Oreochromis niloticus: one gene and its partners. The protein of the gene in region 2 interacts with the protein of the main gene of each other region in a pairwise test. Links are inferred from orthologs where the notes say so. Each region holds a gene or a part of one and is shown on either strand. Other genes may lie near its edges.

Region 1 (7,109 bases), on a different chromosome or scaffold from region 2:
TGAGGAGGGAAAATGAATGTTGCTATTTTTTTAGAACATAATGACTGTTGTGCTTTAGACTGACACTTTTTATTATTGGTCCTAATCATTTATGGTTTAACGGCAAAAAAAAAGAAAAAAAAAAGAAAAAGGGCGCTAATGATAATCATTTGATGTAGAGTACCTCCTATTTGGCATTTATGCACGTGTGGCAGGGAAGTGCAACTTACAGTAACTATTTTATATGAAACTGTACTTTTATTACTGAACACACTCAGATTTAAGAACTAGAAATGAACATGTATAGTTTTAGTAAGAAGATATAGTGTGATTTTTGAATGATACTTTATATAAATCAACCTGACTTGTTTCCAAGGCAAAGCACTTGAAAACCACCTGGATATAAAGTAATAACGGTGTACAGCACTTAAAATCAAACCTAAAGAAAAGAGAATCATATATAATTCCTCTATAATCCTTGTTGGTAAATTAAGATCTTTTCACTTCCAGTGAAGGTCTGAAGTCACTTCCTACTGCATGAATCAGCATTTCCTCCCCAAAAATCAGGTTTGTGGATATGATCTCCCTTGGTGTGGGATTTCTAATGCTTGTGTGTCTGTATAGATAAATCAGCCGTGGCAAACTTAATTTAAACACTCAAGGCGGGGGGGAGAAAATGCTGACAATTTTGTTATTTTGCTGTATATACTTGCTCATGTATGGTATTTGCCTAGATGTAGAAATATTGTTATTTTATTCGTGCTGCACACCTTGCTTGAGCATAACTGGCTCTTTATTTCAAAATGTTTTTCTTTTTTTTCTTTTTTTACTGTGGAATGAAAATAGAGAAGAACAGTGAAATATGCTAAAAACAGGTACAATATGTCACCAATACATCAATAAGTGAGTGTAACACTTCACTTTAACGCGGCCTTTTTCCAGGAAATTAAGAGAGTGATCCTCTATAATACTGTGGTTGGAAGTATTGTAAAAATGATATTTGTCACATATGTATTTAATCAACAGTAATTTGTCTTTGTGATGCACAACACATTTGTGGTGTCAGCACTTGTTATAACCTTTGCAGGCCCGTTATGATGATTTTAACATTAGTGCTTAGTGCGTACTGACTTGTAAAAAGGCCACTGTGTTTGAAGTGTTATCTCCAAACGTTTTGTGTTTTTGCTGGTTACAAATATTGACACATCTACTATATTTTAGAATCTCCTGGAGGTACAAAACATGACCTCTTTTATAGCAATTATTTCCAAGGTAGTATGCCAAAGTCACCTTAAAGAAAACAAAAAATAATCAGAAGTTGTTTTTAAATGTCTGACTAGTTAATCAAAGTAATATATTTTAATTAATATATTTTAATATAAAAGATCTATTTGCTAATTGTTTTTGACAAATCAACAGGGTATTTACTATATTAATATATTGGCTGTCTTTTTTTTTTTTTTAGGCTGGACAGTCCACCGTGCAGAATAATCACTTTTCAAATAGTCCAGGTATCTGATATTCTGTATGGTCCAGGTTTTTTAGTGAATCCATTGGTCTATATTTTTCGATGAAGATGTTGTCTAAAGTGTAGCTTTTACTTGTCTATTTGCATCATCACTTTATGAAAAGATAATGTTTTAATGCACCATTTAAAAAGTCATTCAATTAATATAGTTTTATTTTTATTTGGTGGTTGTGTCTTGTGGAAAGTTGTTTTTGAGGGCTAGAATCTAGCAGGATTTTCACAAGGCATAGAAATTTCACTTATTAATGACATAGTGATGTTTGAGTTAGTGATACAGATGTGTTTTTTTATTCTCATTTTTGACCCCCATTAATTATTTACGTCATATTTGGTTGAATGTGATGTTAGAGTCCTGCTGGACTGGATTGCACTGCAAAAAAATATTAAGAACAATCATTCTCAACCCTAAAGGCAGCTGAAATTTTTGTTAATGATGACTGAAACATGAGTCCAACAGCAGTCCCAATCAATACTAAGGCTAACTGTGTGTGTGCATTTGGAAGAGTAGAGCACATCATATAGAAAATGGCTTGAAGAAGTGGGGGGTGGGAAAGGAGGGGGGGGGGATTGCCACTTTTTTTCCCCTTCTTCTTTTAATGTCATGTTTGACACTAGGTGAATTTCTTTAATGTCAGTGTCATTTTGTCTCCATTTAAAACTCCAGGTGAATGTAATATAGTAATCAGAACTTGTAAACAAAGTGTATTTTATCAAAGTAATAGAATATTATGAATAAATAATAATGGAAAAAGTTTCTTTTTTTTGACTGCTTCTTCATTTTATTGTATTTTTTTTCTTTGGTACTATTTATAATTATATATATATTTTTTAAAAAGCACAATAATATTACGACCCCTCTGTGGGCCAGTCTGACAAAAAATTCTGTTGCTCCAAAGTTTGACATAAAAACCCTGATTACTGTAACTGAGTTATCCCTGACTGTCTTAGAAAAATGTAAAAAAGAAATGTGGTGGGGTGTCTCCTAAAGATCTCTGCCCTTAGGAGGGATACATGGTTTTATACGAGGTCACAGTTGGGGAGGGGGCGAGGGTATTATTTTCATTAAATAGCTTCAAAAAATAAACTATATTTAATTTAATATTTAAAAACATTTGGGGTCCGTATATTATCCAGAAGAGTCCAGTTGTTGAATAAAGAACAGTAACGCTGTCGTATGACGCTGTTGAGCTGCATTATGGGAAATGTAGAGCCCAGGAGTTATGGAGCTTGGTGCTCCAGACAACTAGAAAGTCATGATACTTTTCCGGTCTTTTAGAAACATCACATCTCTTTCTTTCCCCTCTTGATGAAAGTCCCAAACTGCTGCAGTATCCCTTTAAATGAGCCTAAATGAATACTGTGCTTTTTCCTGTTCAGTGTATAATATTGGGGATTATAATTCAGAGTAACAGCGGTATTAATAATAGTAGTGCGCCTTTAACCAGCGTGCGTGCGCACATGCGTAAAGTGTACTAGTAGGTGGTCGCGCATGGCATCTCCGTGCCTGCTTGTATCTACTGTCCTCTGCCGCTGGGTCGCTGACGATGCCGAGTGGAGCGGGGCGCCTCTACGTTTCTGTGTGCGGCTACAACCGCAGTTGCGAAGACTGAAGTCGGATGAGACGGGAGAGGGGCTTGAAAAACGACGATGGATGGTCCGAGCTGTTTCTCATCGCCCGGACAGCTTTAACATCGGGGGAAACGCGTGGATTTATTAAAGGTGAGAAGTGGGGCTGTCCAGCACGGAGGAAATATCCCCCTTATTCGCCCATAGCCACTTACATCCTCCCTATCTGATGCTGCTGCTGCTGCCACCGATGATGATGATGCTCTAAACACAACCTGCGCGATTTTCCTCCGGTAAAGGCCAATTCCCCGCCATGTATCTTACTTGGCTGTGGAGACACCAGTAGGATTTGAAGAAATGCAGAATTGTCATTGTTTGTTAACCAAAAAAATACAAATTAAAAAAAATAAAAAATAAATGTATGGACATCACGACACACATTCCCCACTGCGGAAATAAGGTAAATAGGCGGTTAAATCAGCAACATGGCTGCGTTGATGCTCTGCCGTCGCTTCAGAAGTGATTTTTAAGTGTTGCGGTGCTGCTCGGCGTTAGAATTAAGGCTCGTAGAAAGGGAGAAGTGAATGATATCAGCGGCGGAGAGATACTGCAGTAACCGAGTCCTTATGTTGACTCGCGTCAAAGGATGTTGTCATTACCTTGGAGCTGAAGGTGCGGTTACAGTAAAATGCACCTTTCCAGGCCTGTGATGATTACTACACAGTCTGACTTCACTGCAAGCATCTGACATCCAAATTATTACGAGCCTGTGATTGTTTATGGGGAAATGAATACATGGCACTAGCTAGAAATCCCATTGATCGGGACCGGTGAAACAGTGATCGCACCGACTGTGATCTGAATGTGCTGAATTTATTTTGGCATGAATTATTAAAAACTTCCATCAAATAATCAACTTAACCGTTAAACTGTCATCTGCTTACAGGCTCCGATTACACGTCTGTGAACACGAACTGCCAGTGTGCAACCCTTGTTGCATACTCATGAATTTCAGCAGTTACCTCATAGGGGGAATATTTACAATGAACCATTGTGATATTTTGCTGACATGTCTCTGCTGGGTCTTCCACTGCATAACAAATGTTTTTTTAACCATTTCGCCAAAGGGCAGTCGTGCCTCTTTGACATATCTGCTCTAAAAATGCCCCCAAAGCTTTTTTTTCTCTCTATTTAGAATCACAATTATGATATATAATTGGTCTAACTTTATCCAAACTACCGTGCTGTGCCAGCTCCAAAGACATGTGATGGTGTTTATAAGCACTGAAGCTGGTTTTTGACTATTGCACAGAGTGGTTTATTGCTGCTTGTGAAACGAGTGGTTGTTGTCAAAGAGCTGAAGATGAGTCATTCAGTTGCTCAAAAAATTTAATTATTTGGAAAAAATCTGACATTTCGTTTGGTTTTTCAAGCAAACATCAGATTCCCACAACTGGATTTTCTGCTTTACTCAACCCGCTGTTTAGGAAGTGGGAGGTTTTGCTTGTTAGAAAGCCAGGCTGTAGTTAAAGATATCACCCAAAGCTGTCGTATGGCAAAAATATTGATTGAACATTTGAGAAAAATATCAGCAGATTGTTTGATGTTGAGAATAGTCTTTAGATGTGGCTCTTATTATATTAATATCTATTATTTAAAACTTAATTTCAATGAAACGTCCCCTTTAAAAATCTTTGCTGGCTCTTGTAAGCAGCACGGAGAAATGTTCAAGACAAGGGAGAGGTGCAAGTTTGTGACTGGAAATAGGCTCTGTCATAACACTAGAGATCAGTCTGTGTAAAACAAGGTTGGATAGAAGTGAAAGCAAAATAAAAAGGGGTGGGGTGGGGGGGGCTTCTTGTCTACACACTTCGAACCTTGGCTTCTATGGTTTGCTGATCAGCTGAACGCCCTCAATTCACCATGAGAATAAGTAATCTAAACATGTTTGGGATACTCTTGAGTCCTTGGTCCCAGGGACACCCAGTGCTGATCGCTTATTGGCTATCCCTAATGTGCTCTGTGTCCGTCATCATTAAGTGGTTCCTTTGCAGCTCAGTTGGTGTCATTAGCCCACAGGATGCAGTCACTGCTGAGCGGGATGTCATAGAGAATTATCATTTGCACAGACCACAGGCACTGGAGTGCTCCCTAGCTGGCTCACCAGTATCTCTACAGGAGGCGATGGGAGGGTTTAACAAAAGCACAAAGTGAGAGTTAATAAGTCCTTGAAGGAGGTAGACAAGGGAGGCGTTAATTACTTATTTAAAAGTCTACTACATTTTGTCAGCGTGGAATAGCTCATCTCTCGTAGTAATGGTGGCGTCGAGTCAATATCAAGACACCCTCGCTGACCTTTTTCAATTTGTTTTTCTTTACAGGGTCAACGTTTAGGGCTTCACTTTGTTGACATACAGTGTGCGGCAGGTAAGTACTTTTAAAATCAGTGAGAATCAGTGTGTATATAATATGTCACATGTAAAGCATTTCATATAAGCGCTTGGTAAGCAGGAAAGGATACGGTGTCCATGTGCAAATTGTCTTCACGGTAAATTATTTTTGTCAGATAAGAAAACAAGTCCAAAACAATTGGTGGTAACGGTAAATTAAAATGTGTTTGAGAGAAGTGACACTGTAAAGAAGTGACTGGAATCACAACATTAAAAGCCATGGAGACGCTTTTGAAAAATAGTACAGAGAAAGAAGTGAATGAAGTAATGAAGCCTGTGTTGTTTCAAAGGGGGCTTTTCTTTCCCTGCTGAGCTGAGGAAAAACACACACCAGCAGTGAATCCTGTTTGAAAATGCACAACAGAGTCAACAGTGAAGTTGAATCAGGCAACAACAGTTAAAGATGTTCAATAGGCAGCTCTTCTTTGGTATCAGATAATTATTTGGGGGCATTGAGAAATATTTTTAATCTTATTTACGTGCTCATGAGTTTAGAGCTAAATAGATTTTGTCGTCATATTTTAAAAGATTTGTAGAGAGTGCAATTTCCTTGGCTTCTTGAGATTCTCTTTCGAAGAACTGCAATAGACAGCATACTTTTCTTTAATGCAAAATTTTATTTTCACTAGTAAAGAATTGATAAGATTTAATAATTTTGCCAAACTGCAGTAAGTTACACTTACTCTTTCATTGCTCATACCGAGCCTGATACTGATAGCTTTAGCTTTAGCCATTTTGCCTTTGCTGCCTTTTTAAAATATCCATGTTCAGCTTGGTGAGGGGGATTTAAGTGTCTTATTAAAATTGTTGTTCCATTTTGTGGTGATTTATTTTGGCAAGGTTTGTGTCTTCACCCATTAAGATGCTAGCATATGACTGTTTGCCTATGCCATTGTGGTCTGGCCCATAATAAGCCATATATGTACATGAGGCTGACTGGCCGGTCACCTGTCTGGGCAAAGAACACTGGAAATCAGCTGATTCTGGTCTCTTGTTGGTCAGTTGGCGCATCTCTAGTTATTTCCACTTCCCCCAAGAGTTAGATCACATAAGTGATCTATACCATTCTTACATTGGTAAGCTAGTATAGCCATAAACTGGTAAAACTGGCTATGCAGAAATACTGGAATACTATATATAAATATCCCATATGCAACCCACCCTAAACTACAACATATTCTGGTAATTAGTGAGTTTTAGAAGCTGGAGAGCAAACCATTTCCACATTTTCAAATCTTTATACTAAGCTAAGCTATTTGGCACCTGATTGTAGCTTCATATTAAACCTACAAATGTGAAAGGATTTTTTTTTAATTTTTCCTTAAATACCCAATGAAAGAAGTAACATTATTCTGACAGTGTTAAACTCTTCCTTTTAATAAAAGTCACCGTTCTGACACGGCTATTCTTTTACCAAGCACACTCTCAGTATAATGTATATGTAATTTCTTTTCAGTTTTCTGTCCCTTCTCAGTAATAGCAATAAACAAGTGAAATTTCAAAGCAAAATCATCTATATAGTTGACCAAGGTTATATTGATGACTAACGCTGTCCTTGGTGCAGAGGGGAAATTGCAAACTTTCTG
Region 2 (7,109 bases):
AAGAAATTGTCTCATAATTATCCAAATTCCCGCTGGACAGGAATTGTTGACTTGAATAAATAAGAAGGTGAAAAGTAAGAGCTTTGCTGTTTTGCACCATCTTCAGAGTGAACCTGGCCAAGGCCTCCATGGCCCTGAGAGGCTTCCTCACCCTGGATCCTGTCGCTCTGGCTTCCTTCTGTAAGTAAGACAAGACGAAAGCAGAATGATGATGATGTTGATGTTAAGGCCTTAATGTGGTTAAGGACTATGCAGTCATGTAAAAAACTAGATACCTTTACTGCCTCCATAGAAATTACAAAAGTAGGACCCAGGTACTGCTAATCAAATGCACCTGATTAATTCAATTATATAAAGGCTTTAGCAATTTGCTGGTCTGTCATTCCAAAGTCGTCTTTCCAGGAGTGAACATAGCACCAATTCCCCCAACTCTGCATATCAAAGTATTCAAAAGTGAAGTCATCTGTCTGACAGGTAATATTTGGCTTACACTGGGTCATGTTGAAGAACAATGACCGCCAGCTTAGCAGCAAATCCAAACCTCAGTCTGGCTTAAATGCTGTGCGGCTTCATAGAGCTGTGCATGAACAAAGAACCAAGGTTTAAAGAAGAGTGGGCCAAACTTCCTCCACAACAATGTTACAGACTGATAAAGTCATACAGAAAACATTTACTCATTGTAAGGGCGATTAAGGTAGATCTAAAGCTAATGAATTATGAACCTAGGCATGTTGGACTGGTCATTTTTTACTCTCTTAGTGGTTTTTTACAGGATCTCATAGAAAACTGAAAATGTTCTTTTTTAAATGCCTGTAAGTATCCAAACATCTTCTCTCTTTGTGTGCTCAGTGTATTTTATAGCCCTGATCCTGTCCCTCAGCCAGCAAATGGCCAGTGATCGCATCAACCTGTATCCCACTGCCAACGAGACTCTGTGGTGAGATTTTTGTTTTCATTTTTATAAGTCAGCATTTTTAGCGTGATCTTGGAAAAGTAAAGAGAAAAACAGATGAAAGCAATTCTTTCCACAACAAGTTCAAGGTTGACATGGCAACTGAATTTAAAAACTGATAGGAGCTTAAAGGGCTAAAAGGAAATATCTAATGCAGGATGGTTTAAAAGCAGGTGTTTTACATTATACAATACTTATTAATACTTATTAATATTTCTGTGGTTCTAGTAGAACACTAACCATGTATAAGAAGTTGATTTTTACCAAAAGTGTAACCCTTATTCAGGCAATTGTAGTCACATGTTGGTTTTTTCCCATGATGAAACTAATTTGAATATCTTTCTATATATTGAGTAATACTTACATTTCAATTGTTTGGCAAATTTAAAAACAAAACATTTGAAAACCAAAAGTATCCAGAAAACATTCACACATTTCCACATAAAAGGAACATCTTCCTTTTAACAACACTGAGACCTGAGGTACCATTGCCAAAGACTTTTAAGAGGCTAATGCATTTCTTTTATTAAACTTAACTTGGAGAATCTCAGAGTTCTGCTATTTTCTCCTTACCATGGTTGGAAAACCCTCCTGAGGACTCAATCTTGACATGGAATGGTAAATTAATAACTGCTGTTTAACCTCTCATGTCCTGCAGGCCTCCTGGTTCAGAGCAGCAGATCCTGCGGCCGTGGATTGTAGTGAACCTGGTGGTGGCGCTATCAGTGGGCCTGGCCTGGGCCGTCGTCTCCACACGACCAGACATCGACTACACAGAAGGCAAGTTTAGCTAAAACTAACCTGATATGACTTGGACATTCCATCACCCAGTGATGGAAAGTAACCAAATGTAGTTAAGTACAGTTCTCTGGTCTTTTGCATTACTTGTACAAAAATATGCTATTGCTCATAACAAATATGTATTCCTTTTAAGCTTCAAAAACTTTTTTTATAGAAAATGAAATGTAAAGATCACACAGAGGGATGTTACTTAACTTTGGGGACACCTTCTTGAGCAAACAGGAAACGTTAATGATACTTCACATCCTGTGGAAACAGTGAAATAAAATGAAAAAGTGGTAATAAAACTACAATAACAGAAATCGTAAAAGGCTTCTGTAGGATTTGCAAGGTTTTGGCCACACAGCACACGCACATGGAGTCTCCTGGACTCCAAATACACCAGGTAGTCTGAAGGATTAATGACACATCACTTTTTTTTAATTTAAATGTAGCTGTATATAGTATAAAAGTAATACTTTTGATGCATTGCTGTGTTCCTGGTGTCATTCTTTATGTCACCACTAGATAGAAGCAAAGTGAAACATGTTCAAACCCTAAAAGCAAATGGCAGACATTCACATGTCAGCAAGCCAGCGTGTGTGTGCTTTGTAGAAATGTAAGCTGATGGTCTGGATTTCCTTTTGCAGAGTTTTTGATGACAATGGAAGTGGAGGGATACCCGAGAGGAGATGAGAACCTGGACATTCCGGCCTGAAACCTCTCTCTCTTTCTTTGTCTCCAAGTCTGTTTATGTTTTTGTATAATGTAGCTTTGTGTTTGAGCTGATTTTGCAAATAAACTAATAAAGGCTATATGGTAATAGGTGGTTGATACTTCTGCAGAGGAATAAGTGCCAGAAGAGCATAAAATACTTTCTGGTGTTTGTACTCCACTTGTAAATGTTGTATGTATTATTTTCATTCCTCTATTTTTGCTTATGGTCGTTTGCACCTTTTAGCAGTTTTGTCTGTGAAGTCATTTTGTGTGTCTGTTGTGTTTTCATCACTTTGCAGTTTTTGTGTCTTTGTGTGTTTTCTGTTTGTGGTCATTTTACCCATTTTGCCTGTAACAATTTTTATACACAACAGCAATTTTTTATGCTGTGTGTTGTAATTGGGAAGTCGCTTTGCATGTACTTGGATGTGTCTCCTTTTGTGTATCCGTTTGATGTCATTTGTCATTTTGTGTGCCTTGTTTGTTTGTAGCAGTTTTCTAAGTAATTGTAATATTTCTGAGCTCTATTTGCCTCTTTTACCTTCATCATTTGCATCACCTCCTGCGTGTATTTCATAACAGTTTGTAGTCGTTTCCGAGATGTTTTTGCGTGACTTTGATTAACATTCCCTAAAAAAGAAGGTTAAACAGTCAAACGAAACAATATCGTGGCCCCACCTTACGACAGTGGGCTCTACACTTGTGCCTGGTAGTCCCTCAGAGCACTCCCACTCTCCCACTTTTCTTCATGCCATCACAGTATTGACATTTCCGCACAGCCCCTGAAGGCGCTAGGATCCATCCATTCAGCGCGCGCTGCAGCCGTGTAGTAAAAGCCATGTAAAGATGGCGGAGCTGCAGATGCTGCTGGAGGAGGAAATTCCTGCGGGACGAAGAGCGTTGTTGGACAGTTTTACCAACCTGGAAAGAGTCGCGGAGTACTGCGAAAGCAACTATGTCCAGGTACATGCTCATATTTAAACAGCAAGTGTATAAGTTGGGTGAAATGACATATCGAGGTAATGTCAGTTGGGAGTAGGCGGTTTGGATAGAGGAGTGATGGAATGACCGTGCCAGATTCCGTTATGTTACCCGTGGTTTTTATGTAAAGGGGAAAAGTCACAGCGAATTCAATACAAACACTGACCCGCTGATGCCTGAATACGAAGGGTGTCGGGGTCAATTCGGTTTTTTGAAAAATATCCTCAAACACATCTTTACTAGTGAAAAATCAACTTTTGTAAGTGGTTTGCGCAGCACCGTGTTGTTTTCTGATGGAGCGTGACTCTGTGGGAATGTGATGGGTGGATTTGGGTTAGTTTTAAAAGTTTGCTTTAACCGAAATAAGTTTGAATATGTTCACTGAATGGGTGCCGAATTAATTGTCGAGTTGCGTTTTTCTAGTAAAATGTCTCTTGCAAAGTTTGTGATGTTTATGTAAGCAGGCAATCGCTTGAGCAGAGATGCGTTAATGGGAGTCTGGCGCGACACTTAACTGGTATGTGATTGTGGCCGATAACTTGCACTGTAAATCGCTGCTGAGATTTATGATTTACTTTTACTGCTATTCTATAAACAGTTTGTTTTTATTTATTTATTTTCATCAAATGATAACCGGCAGAATTAGGGAAATTTGAAGATAATTGTTAGTTTCAGTCCTGATCTAAAGTCTTCAGTATCTAGTAAAAACATTGTTTCAAATTGCCATCAAGGTGGCAAATACGGCTGTTATGACAAATAAATGTATCAGATTAATCTTTAGTATAGATCCTTTATAGATTCCGTTTGTCCTTGAAGATGCAGCTAATGATTAATATCATCGCTGATAGCTGACAGCTTTTCTTTGATACAAATTGTGCTTTTCTTTTTTATGCTGTTACAGTGGTTGATGCTCATATTAACATGGCCAAAGTTTCAGACCATGAGGTCAAGTTATTCCTGTGAACCAAAACAAAGTGGTCTAAATGCTCAGTTTCAGACACTTTCTTCTCCTCTTGGCTCTGTATGACGTCAGTGACAGCGGAGATCCCTAATATGGTCATGTCAGGCTCACAACTCTGGCTAATTTATGCAAATATGACATGGAGGAAAAGGGGTTTGCACTCATTGCTCTTTCCATCATTGGTGGAACCGGATGACGTATGCGTCAAGTGGGCATATGGAAGGGAAGGGGACAAGAGTGGATCTTCTCTGTGGCTGGCAAATGGACCAACAACACCACGACCTGTTCTATCACATACTTTGTACACTGTTTCTATCTGACACTGTTTCTGCTCTGCACGCTGAACCAAACTTTTTGTTTCTGGCTGTAAGCACATAAGGCCCACCACCTGCTTTTCAAACCATAGATGGTCTAAAAGATGGACGTAGCCACCATTACGCCAGCTGTTGGTTTGTGAAGTCCTGTTTTTGAATCTTCAAGCTGATGGGTTTTTTCCCCCAAACGTAATGTTTGTCATGTCATTAAAACCGGACGTGACAAGCAAAGGTTGGATCTAAAACTGCACATACGGCAATTTTCAACTGCGACTTACTTGAAGCTGTTGTATTATAGCACAGTCATTTGTCACGGGCATAATACAGCCCCTTGAATTTAGTGTTAAATTAACACTCAGCTTATCCACTGATGGCTTCTTGAGAATGTGAGTTAGACACCAGTATCTGTACTGGGCTGCCATCCCTCCACCCCCGTGCTTGCTTATCGGAGAGTGTGTGAGTGTACGTGGGCAGACAAGGCTGTTACGGACAACTGTTCTTCCTCAGCTGGCTCTGTAGACACACCTGTTCATCGCCACATTTCATTTAGATTCGTGTGTTTGTGTGAGTCTTACTGTCAGTCAACAAGTGAAAGTGCATCAACAGTCTTTCTTCTTTAAAGGCCAGAAGCACACAGGCGCTACATGATGCGTCACAGCAGACCGACACAGTGAAATCTTGTTCTGCACATCTACACATGATGAATTCCACAAGGGCGCTTTCTTTTTCCCCTCTTTTATTCCTTCTCCTCTCTATTTCTTCTTTCCTTTATAACCTTTGACCTTTTTATTTCTCTGAAATTCTCAGTCTGTTTTCACACAGTACTAGCTTGGCATTAGCTTTCTCATTTTTAGCAGTCACATCAGCAGTAACATGTCATCTTCTCAGGAAAACTGAAAGTCTTTTTTAGCTCGTTAGACTGCTCACACTGCATGTTCAGATTGAGCCTAGCATGGCTAACTCAGTACCCAGAGGATGGCCTACATTTATGCAGCCAGCAGATGATGTGATTGTTACATAATAGCGCAGTGTGCTGATCCTGTTTTATGGGCTAAATATTTGGATTCAGAGTTGACCCGGGTCAAGTTGTTGTTGGTCTTATGTGGCCACATCCTGGCATCATTGTGGTCCAAATTCAGATTTAAAACAGTCTAGTGCTTTTTAAGGGGTGGGGGTGGGGGGGGTGGGGGGGGTTACAGAGTGTCTTTATTCTTTTACTTTTGCATTCCCAGAAAGTTGATTTCCTTACCTGCATCAAGGTGCTCTGAGTGTTTATTTGTTTTCTGTGAACAGAGATTTTCAATAACATAATGTTGCAACTGTACAAGATACAGTCATGAAGCTTTGCACGTCTGTGGTTGACATCAAAATGAATGCTGGCTTTGAACATGGGTGTGGTCAGTTTTGAGCATTAAATAAAGGCTTCCTGGAAGTGGGGAGGACAAGGGCTCCTTCCCATTTTATTTTGTGCAATCCCAACAAGCAGACAAACACCTGTGAGCAAACACTTGGCAACAGTGAAAAGGGAAAACTGTCTTTTAACAGGAAGAAACCTCCAGCAGAACCAGGCTCAGGGTGGGGCAGCCATCTGCTGCGATTGGTTGGAGGTGAAGGGAGGGAGACGAGACAAAAGACACACTGTGGAGGCGAGCCAGAGATTAATAATAATTAATGACTAAATGCAGAGAGGTGTATAAAAACGGAGAGCGTGAAAAGAGGTGAATGAAGACAAAACACTCAGTGCATTATGGGAAGCCCCCACAGCAGCCTAGGCCTATTTAAAAGTTACTAAGAGAGGATTCAGGGTCACCTCATCCAGCTCTAACTTTATGCTTAATCAGAAAGGAAAGCTGAAGGCTCTGTCTCCCATTCTACTTTTAAATATCCTAGGCACCACAACTGAGCCAGTAGTCTGATGGCAAAATGCTCTGACGGGGTACTATGAGGTCTTTAACATAAAATGGGGCCTGATTATTCAAGACCTTGTAATCTGTTATGTGGTATAAAAACAGATTTCCATTACAAATGTAGTCTGAGAATATCTCTTATGTGAACCAGTTGCAAACTGGTCATTAGTTGTGTTTATTAACAAAACTATGTTTGGAAGAGGCAAAGTAGGAGGAGTATGGGACTATCGAGTCTGCCTGTATGCGCCGAGTTTCTAACAGCTGTCTGCAGATATCAGGCTGATGTCAGGAGACACAAACAGCAGGAGCTGAGCTTGTGTGCTGACTTTCCTGTTCTGCCTCTGCTCAAAGTGATAATTAAAGTGGATTTTAATGCTCTGCTCTGTTGAAGCCTCTTGTTCTGACTGCCCACAGCTGTGTGGGACTACTAGAATGTGTAAAATGATGACAGCTTTGCAGGTGGTGCAGATCTTAATGCTCTGCTGCCATGCATGTGG
Region 3 (7,109 bases), on a different chromosome or scaffold from region 2:
TTCCTCTGTGATTCACTTGATATAAACATGAAGTCTGAGGTTCATGTGGAGGGAGGGTGTGAGAATGAAACACCGGGTTATTTATCCACATTTATCTAATCAGCTGATCATGTTGCAGCAGTTTGGTGTGTAAACATTTTCCATCGCGTGTGTGTGTGTGTGTGTGTGTGTGTGTGTGTGTGTGTGTGTGTGTGTGTGTTCCTAATAATAAAGGCGAGTCTGATCTGATAACTGACACTCCTCTCCGTGTTGAGGTCATTAACTTGCCACAGCCCGCTTTCTCTGGAAGCCTTTATACCTCTGATTTGATCAGTTATTATTTGATGCCGCGTTCAGGTCACCTCGAGAACAGGAAGTGGTTTCAGGCTGGGATCTCGTTCTGTAGTTTTCTCTTGTTTCTGCAACGCATCATTTTCTTCCTCGGGCTCTGACTGAAGTTTAGAGAAAACGGCTAAAGGAAAATCCGCTCATCTCTAACACACAGTCCCAGTCTGAGCACAATTTAATCACAATAAAAAAACATAAAAGAAGATACCAATAACAGCAGTCAGCCTGGTTTAAAGCTAGAGAATAAAAACTGGCTTTCAAGCAGGTGTTACAGTTGTCTGCTGACGGAGTGGCAATTTATTCTGATTTACTGCGGAGCTCAGTGATTGGTGGAAGGAGGCGCCAAACAGCTCAGGTCAGGAAGCCAGCATGGATGACTGTCGTCGTGCCACTTTGAAGCAGCCGTAGTCGATCAAAGTCTATGAAAGGCTGTCTCTCTTCCACAGCATGTCTTTATCCTGTCTTCTCTCACCTCAACCAATCACAGCAGATGGCCCCGCCCCTCCCTGAGCCTGGTTCTGCTGGAGGTTTCTTCCTGTTCAAAGGGAGTTTTTCCTTCCCACTGTCACCAAAGTGCTTGCTCATAGGGGGTCATATGATTGTTGGGCTTTTCTCTGTATGTATTATTGTAGGGTCTACCTTACAATACAAAGCACCTTGAGGCGGCTGTTGTTGTGATTTGGCGCTGTGTAAATAAAACTGAATTGAATTAAAACAGAGCAGATATTAGATTCTGCATTAGAGCCCTTGTGGGTAAAATAATAAATCAGTTCAGTGTTTTTTGTTTTTGTTTTTTAAAGTCTGAGATTTAAAAACTACAAATGTACAAGGAAGAAAATCCACTGATTTTCTAACTAACACTCGCTAGAAAATTGTTTTGGAGCTGCTGTGAGTTTAAAATAAAACTACTGATCGGGAAAAAAAACTGAATTTACAAGAAAACAGTCGTGAAAGTAACGAAGCCGATAAAAATGTCTTAAATCTGAGTGGGATTGATCTAAATTTACAAATAAATGTGAGGACGGAATTTAAGAGTGCATGTTTTCCCATGCTCCCTCGTTAACAGTCGACCCCCTTCTGTCCTCATTCTTTATTGTTTACCATCAGCTGTAGAATAAACCGCTGCGTGTTTGAGGAGCACGTTTGGACCTTTAGAAATTAAAACTAAAGTCTTCCTTGGCTCATTGAACTTCTGCAGGAACTGTTAAAAATCTCTGAGATCTCTGGAAACTCTTCGATGACCCCTGGACCTTCCTCGTGAGATTTTTCTAACGTGTGACCCTGAGTTTGGACCGCAGCCCCGCCCTCACCTCGTTAGCGTCCTGAAAGGGGTCGGTGGACCGGAAACGTCCCCCTTTTGTTCTTGCAGGAACGTTTCCAGAAACTGTCCCGGCTCTGTTTACAGTGAGCTGCAGGACGGATCGCTGCTATATGCAGCAAGGTCTGCAACCAATCAGAGGCGAGCGTCAGGATTGAGTGGCTGTGATTCAGACCGTCAGCTCCCACTGGGTCAAAGTCCCAGCATGCCCGGCTCTGTCACATATGTCACCTATTTAGGAGAGGTGGTCGACATCCCCACGACATGAAAGAAAGAGGTCACTCTGACCTAAAACCCTTCACTTTACCAAAATAAAAGCCTTTGGGAAAGTAGATGAGGCACAATGAGCAGGTCACTGTTTCCACAATAAAAGCCTTTAATGATTTTCCAATCTGCACATTCAAAATGAGACTGTAATGTCAATCAGATTGTCCCTGTCACCAAAATAAACGCTTGTTCTGATCTAAAATTATACTTAAATTTTGAAAAGACTGAAGTCTAAACTTTTCTGGACTATTCTACCAACTAGAACATCACTGCTGTCAAAATAAAAGTCTTCTCTCATCTAAAATTATAGTTGGGACAGCACTTTCCAAAATAAAAGGCTTTTCTTCACTCTAAAAATCAGCCTTTACAGATTTTTATGACCAGTGTGCTGCAGTCATGTTTACTGTACTCTGTATTTCTACGGTCTCTTTATTGAATAAAAGTGCTCCAGTAAAGTGAAAGTTACAGAGATGTGATCAGTTTAAGCAGTGACTACAAACGGATCAGTGATCAAAGAACTGGAAGTAATCCTGACTGTTATTAAACGTGAAAACCGGCACGTAGCTCATCCTGAAGATATTAACATAAATCCATCGTTTAGTGTCGTGCTGTTACGTCACCGGCGATCCTCTGCAGTTTTATCCTGCAGCAATAACAACAGATGGTCCCGGGACAGAGGGAGGGAGGAGAGGAGGCCCCTCGAGCTCTTTCTCTGATCCACTCAGTCTGATGGAGGGGAAGACCCGACCTGCCACAGAGGAAACAGTTTCCTGCACCTGCTGCTCATCCACAAACTCTGTGAGGAGAAGTTCTCTGACTCCACGCAGGAGCTGGATTCGTGCTTTTCCTGCAGGTCTGCAGAACAAACTTTGGTTTTTTTTTTTCTTGCAGTGGACCTCAAGGTCAGAATATCACTCCAGGGAAAACTCTGCTGAAACTTTGCATCTTGCTCTGCGTCCGTGTTGCACTTCGAATCACTTTTCTCTTATGTGGGGATTTTTGTTTTTGCTGCACGCCTCTGCAGCCTCGCTTCAGAGCAGGAGGCGTTTGCACAGTCTTGAGTTTCAGTGAGAAACTGAAACTGGCGGCTGCAGGCTCTGGTTACCCGTCTTGATAACCGTTGGCGTGACAGCAGTGAGGAGGACGGGACAAGGTTCAGAAGCTTTTATCATCTGATGTGATGTTGACGGGGCGGGGTTCGGGACAGAGGTGAACAAACACAGCAGGATTTAAACAGCTGATCCTTTTTAGAGGAAACATTTAGAGCGAGGATCGTCAACCTCAGCGGGACCCAAACGAGACACCTGTGAGCTCCCACCTGGGCTGGAACAACCCTGTGATGAAACCAAGCACCCACCCGAAGCACCCTAGAGTCTGAGGGTGGGGCGAGGGGTCATGTATGTCCTGTGCACCCTGGCGGTTCTGACGCTCCACAACCTGATTAAGAACCGGAACAAACCGGAGCAAAACCGGTCCACTGAGGCCGCGGGACGGGAAGGTCGTCTGAAGGATGGGAGCGCAGGCGACGGGTGCTGGGGGGTGTCCGGGACCCGGGATCGAGTGGATGGATCAATGATCCGCAGAGCTGAGGGGAAGAGGAGGCGAGGGGCCATACACAACCTCCCTAACAGCAGGAAGCAAGTCCAGGTGAGGAAGAGGTCGGGTTCAGACGGCGTGCGGTTTTAATTCCTGAAAATATTAAAACATAAAAACTTTAAAAACAAGTTTGGGAAACCGGGGACGCACTTCTAATTTTAGAAGGAAATACGAACTTTTAGTTACATTTTAGGTGAGTGTGAGTTTGCACTTATTAAGGATTTACACCCTGATTTCACCCTGATAATCACCTCCGAGTGTAAAGTTGAACCCTTCATTTATCAAACAGGTGACGTACAGCCTGAGAGACTTCACAAAAATGAGCATTAAGACCTTTGCAAAACTGTCACATGATGAGTTTTTGAACTAAAGTACTTTATTTTATCTAGTTATAGACTGATTTGTTTGCATGTAGAAATATTTTTACTTTATTTCCGTTGGCCTCACTTCAGCTGGACCATCAGGTGAACTGGACCATTTGTAGCCTGAAGCTTTTACACCTTTAATTTGGTCAAATTAGTTATCTAATAGAATATAATACTGCGTTTAAACAAGTAAATCTTTTTAAAATTATGATTTTGTTTCCATGAAAATGTGATCAGTCTATAATCTGAATGAGGGGGAAAAAAATGAACCAACAGTAGAAACAGAATTTGAATTTCTACTGTGTGCAGGAAGATGGCGCATAAACATGATTGTCATTATTTTTAATCAAAGAAGTAAATGTTGTTAAAACTGTAACCATAATGGTCCCAAATCACAGCGGCAGTTATGAGAGCTCGGAGTGTTTTTGTTCTCAACGTTTCAGTATTTATGAAATCTACTTTGGTGATTTTTATCGAGCTGCTTTGAATCCTGCTGCTGTCCAGAAGTTTCCACAGAGCAAAGTCGGTTTGCTGATTCATTTATTTATTTATTTATTTAGAAGCCTGACAGAACGACTCCATGAGTGACTGATTTTATTAGTGAACAAGCTGCTCTTATTTTTGAAAAGTCAGCCACTTCTAACCAGTTAGCCCAGTTAGAGGTTAAACATTTGAAACCCACTGAGGAGAACGTGAAGCACAGGATGCTTGAGGCTCTAACCCTGCAGGCACCAAAATTGAACGAGTCCTTTCTTTGAAGCGTCGGGTCTCGCTCATCTTTGCATTTCCTGATTAATCCTGCAAACAGTAAAACAGACATGGGTCAAACCCGTCCATGGAGGGATTATACAACTCTCACACTAACGCTCCTAAAGTATGAGTTACACTCCCGGCCGACTGCTCGGTGAAGACTTCAGTTTTCGTTAATGAGCGACTCGTTGCACGCGGACACAAACTGAAGGCCCTGACACGTATTCACAGACGGGACTCGCGTGATTTCTGTGGGGTAACGCTTAAAGAGCAGGACTTTCACTTACAGTGGGGTAATTTTATTTTCCGTGTCCTCGGGGGAGGACAAGGCAACCCTTTGTTGTTCAATAATCATAAAGCTGTGATTCAGCAGTTTTTATCTGAACTTGCTGACGGACTGAGGAATGTTTACAGCTGCACAGTAAATGTTATCATATCTGAGTGCAGCAGTAAAATGTCACTAAATGTTGTAAATATTAAACTTTACGGGGAGTTCTGTTGTTAGGCAAAGGTAAATCTGCTCTCTGATTGGCTTAAAAATCACCTGTCTGAGACGAGAGGTCAGCTCAGCAGGGTTTACGCGGTCAGTGACTCAGACTTGGTGGAGCTCTGATATCAACACAGGTATTATTTGATTGTGGAAATAGCCATAAAATGATAGCAGGGCTAACTTTTACTGCTGAGTGTATTTTGTGATGGACTGTTGTGACGCATGTTTGGGTCTTATTGTCAGATTTGTGGTGTTGTGCGGTTTGCTGCTATTAAAACTATAAGTGCGCTTGTTTTACACTCAGGTAAGCTGGTGTGAAATACTTCACAGGTGATGAACCTGTATGTGCTCCTGTATGAGTTAACAATTATGTGTCGGCTGTCAGAAACAGCCCCACCTGCTGGTCATGCAAACTGATTGCACTTGTGTAGATGGACGTGAATGATGAGCTCGGGACGTGTGTACCAGTCTGACAGCTGGACAGATGTGGAGTCTGAGCCAGAGGACGGACTGTGAGGATGATCTCAGATTTCACTGTCCCACCCTCCGGAGGCGCTAGAGAGCATGGAGCAAATATGTCATTTGAACTGCTTGTGAACATGCATTTACCTCTGTGCGTTTATTTTAGTCCCCCTGGTTTACTTCAGGTAATAATCAACCCCAGGAGACATATTTGTGTAGTCTGTATGTGCGGGGACAGGCGGGCACGAGTGTTGTTCAGATATGGTCACTTTTTAAATGTTTTTCCCATAACTCTAACACTCTGACGGGTCCCGGCGGCTCCTGTTGATGCAGGTTTTGATGTTCAGAGGCTTCATGTTTGCTGGTTCCAGTTAAATCTGATGTTTGTCACAGGACATTCAATCACATGATATAAATGTCTGAAATCCTCTGGCTCCTTATAGGGAGACGGCGTTCAGGGTCGAGCGCGTCGGTCACATCAGTTATGTAACCAAACATTCATCATCATCCTTTGATGGTATAATCTGTGAGCTCATCCTGCAGGACAGGACAAGCTTCATTTCCCCAGAAGTTTGTATAACATATTCTGCAAAAATTAAAATAAAAGTTCCCCAAAGATTATACTTTATGCCAGTTGGTTACAATTAAGGTGCAGAAAGGCACAAACAGGGTGTGTAATGTGTTAGTGGAATAAAAAATAACTAAAGATTTTACAGTTTAAGATGAGAATGACTTAAAAAAAAAAAAAAAACAACCCTCATTTGACATCAGTTAGACAAACTTCATCTAATACATTTAATAAAAGAAACTTAAAAGCATGATTTATTTTCTTTAGCTGAAACCATCACCTTCCCCTCACGTAAAGCTAACCGTGTGCATTGTGGAGTCCTCGCATCTTAACTGTAAACTTCACGTCCCCACAATCTGAGTAATACGAGTACACACAGTGCTGAATATTTGAGGTGGGGGAGGAGCAGCCGCTCTCGCTTCAGTGGAGGCTGAAATATTCATCCGCTGCTGGGATGGAGTGAGGAGGAGGAGGGGCTACAGGAGGTGTGATGCTGCTGTGCTGTTGCTAAGGAAACGGAGGGAGGAAGCAGTGAGTGTGTGTGTGTGTGTGTGTGTTTAGGGGGGTTGGTGGGTGTCTTTGACTCTGATCCTGCTGCTGTGTGTCGGCGTGAAGCTGCAGCAGTCTGGGCGATGCGGCGATGATGATGTGGACGGAGAGGCCGCAGGGAGGTAAGAGCCGGGCGGATGGTGCAGAGGGGGAGGTGGGGAGGGATGGAGGCGCTGCAGGGGAGGCGGACATGTTGAGCAGACATGGAGGTCTGGCTGTAACCTGATGCAGAGCAGACGCTTATGTTTCATGACCTGAATACGAGCCGTCGGTGGCACAAAGCTTCATCCTCATTCATCTGGTTCCTCTCCTCCTCCTCCTCATCCTCTCTTTCATGCCGTTTTATCTCACCGTAAACCTCTTCCTGTCCATGGAGAGTATACCGAGGGACCCGTGGATTGTCCTAATTGAAGCGCA

What was found.
Region 1: the proteins of abl interactor 2 (region 2) and dtnbb interact in binary tests that used the Homo sapiens proteins (3 or more experiments, as listed by UniProt). The link is inferred for Oreochromis niloticus from reciprocal best matches to the Homo sapiens genes ABI2 and DTNB.
Region 3: the proteins of abl interactor 2 (region 2) and kifc3 interact in binary tests that used the Homo sapiens proteins (3 or more experiments, as listed by UniProt). The link is inferred for Oreochromis niloticus from reciprocal best matches to the Homo sapiens genes ABI2 and KIFC3.

Annotation. Positions count from the first base shown.
Region 1 is NC_031983.2:18,631,151-18,638,259, reverse strand, and holds the start of dtnbb (dystrobrevin, beta b), read left to right. Parts: upstream 1-3,007; 5' UTR 3,008-3,226; intron 3,227-5,454; 5' UTR 5,455-5,500; intron 5,501-7,109.
Region 2 is NC_031987.2:29,358,458-29,365,566, forward strand, and holds the start of abl interactor 2, read left to right. Parts: upstream 1-3,269; 5' UTR 3,270-3,295; coding exon 3,296-3,412; intron 3,413-7,109. Other genes in the region: transmembrane protein 237A, read left to right, coding at 107-180, 850-937, 1,611-1,732, 2,383-2,450. UniProt on the Homo sapiens protein: Regulator of actin cytoskeleton dynamics underlying cell motility and adhesion. Functions as a component of the WAVE complex, which activates actin nucleating machinery Arp2/3 to drive lamellipodia formation.
Region 3 is NC_031965.2:37,984,284-37,991,392, reverse strand, and holds the start of kifc3 (kinesin-like protein KIFC3), read left to right. Parts: upstream 1-3,016; 5' UTR 3,017-3,307; coding exon 3,308-3,559; intron 3,560-6,680; exon of another isoform or gene 6,681-6,814; intron 6,815-7,109. UniProt on the Homo sapiens protein: Minus-end microtubule-dependent motor protein. Involved in apically targeted transport. Required for zonula adherens maintenance.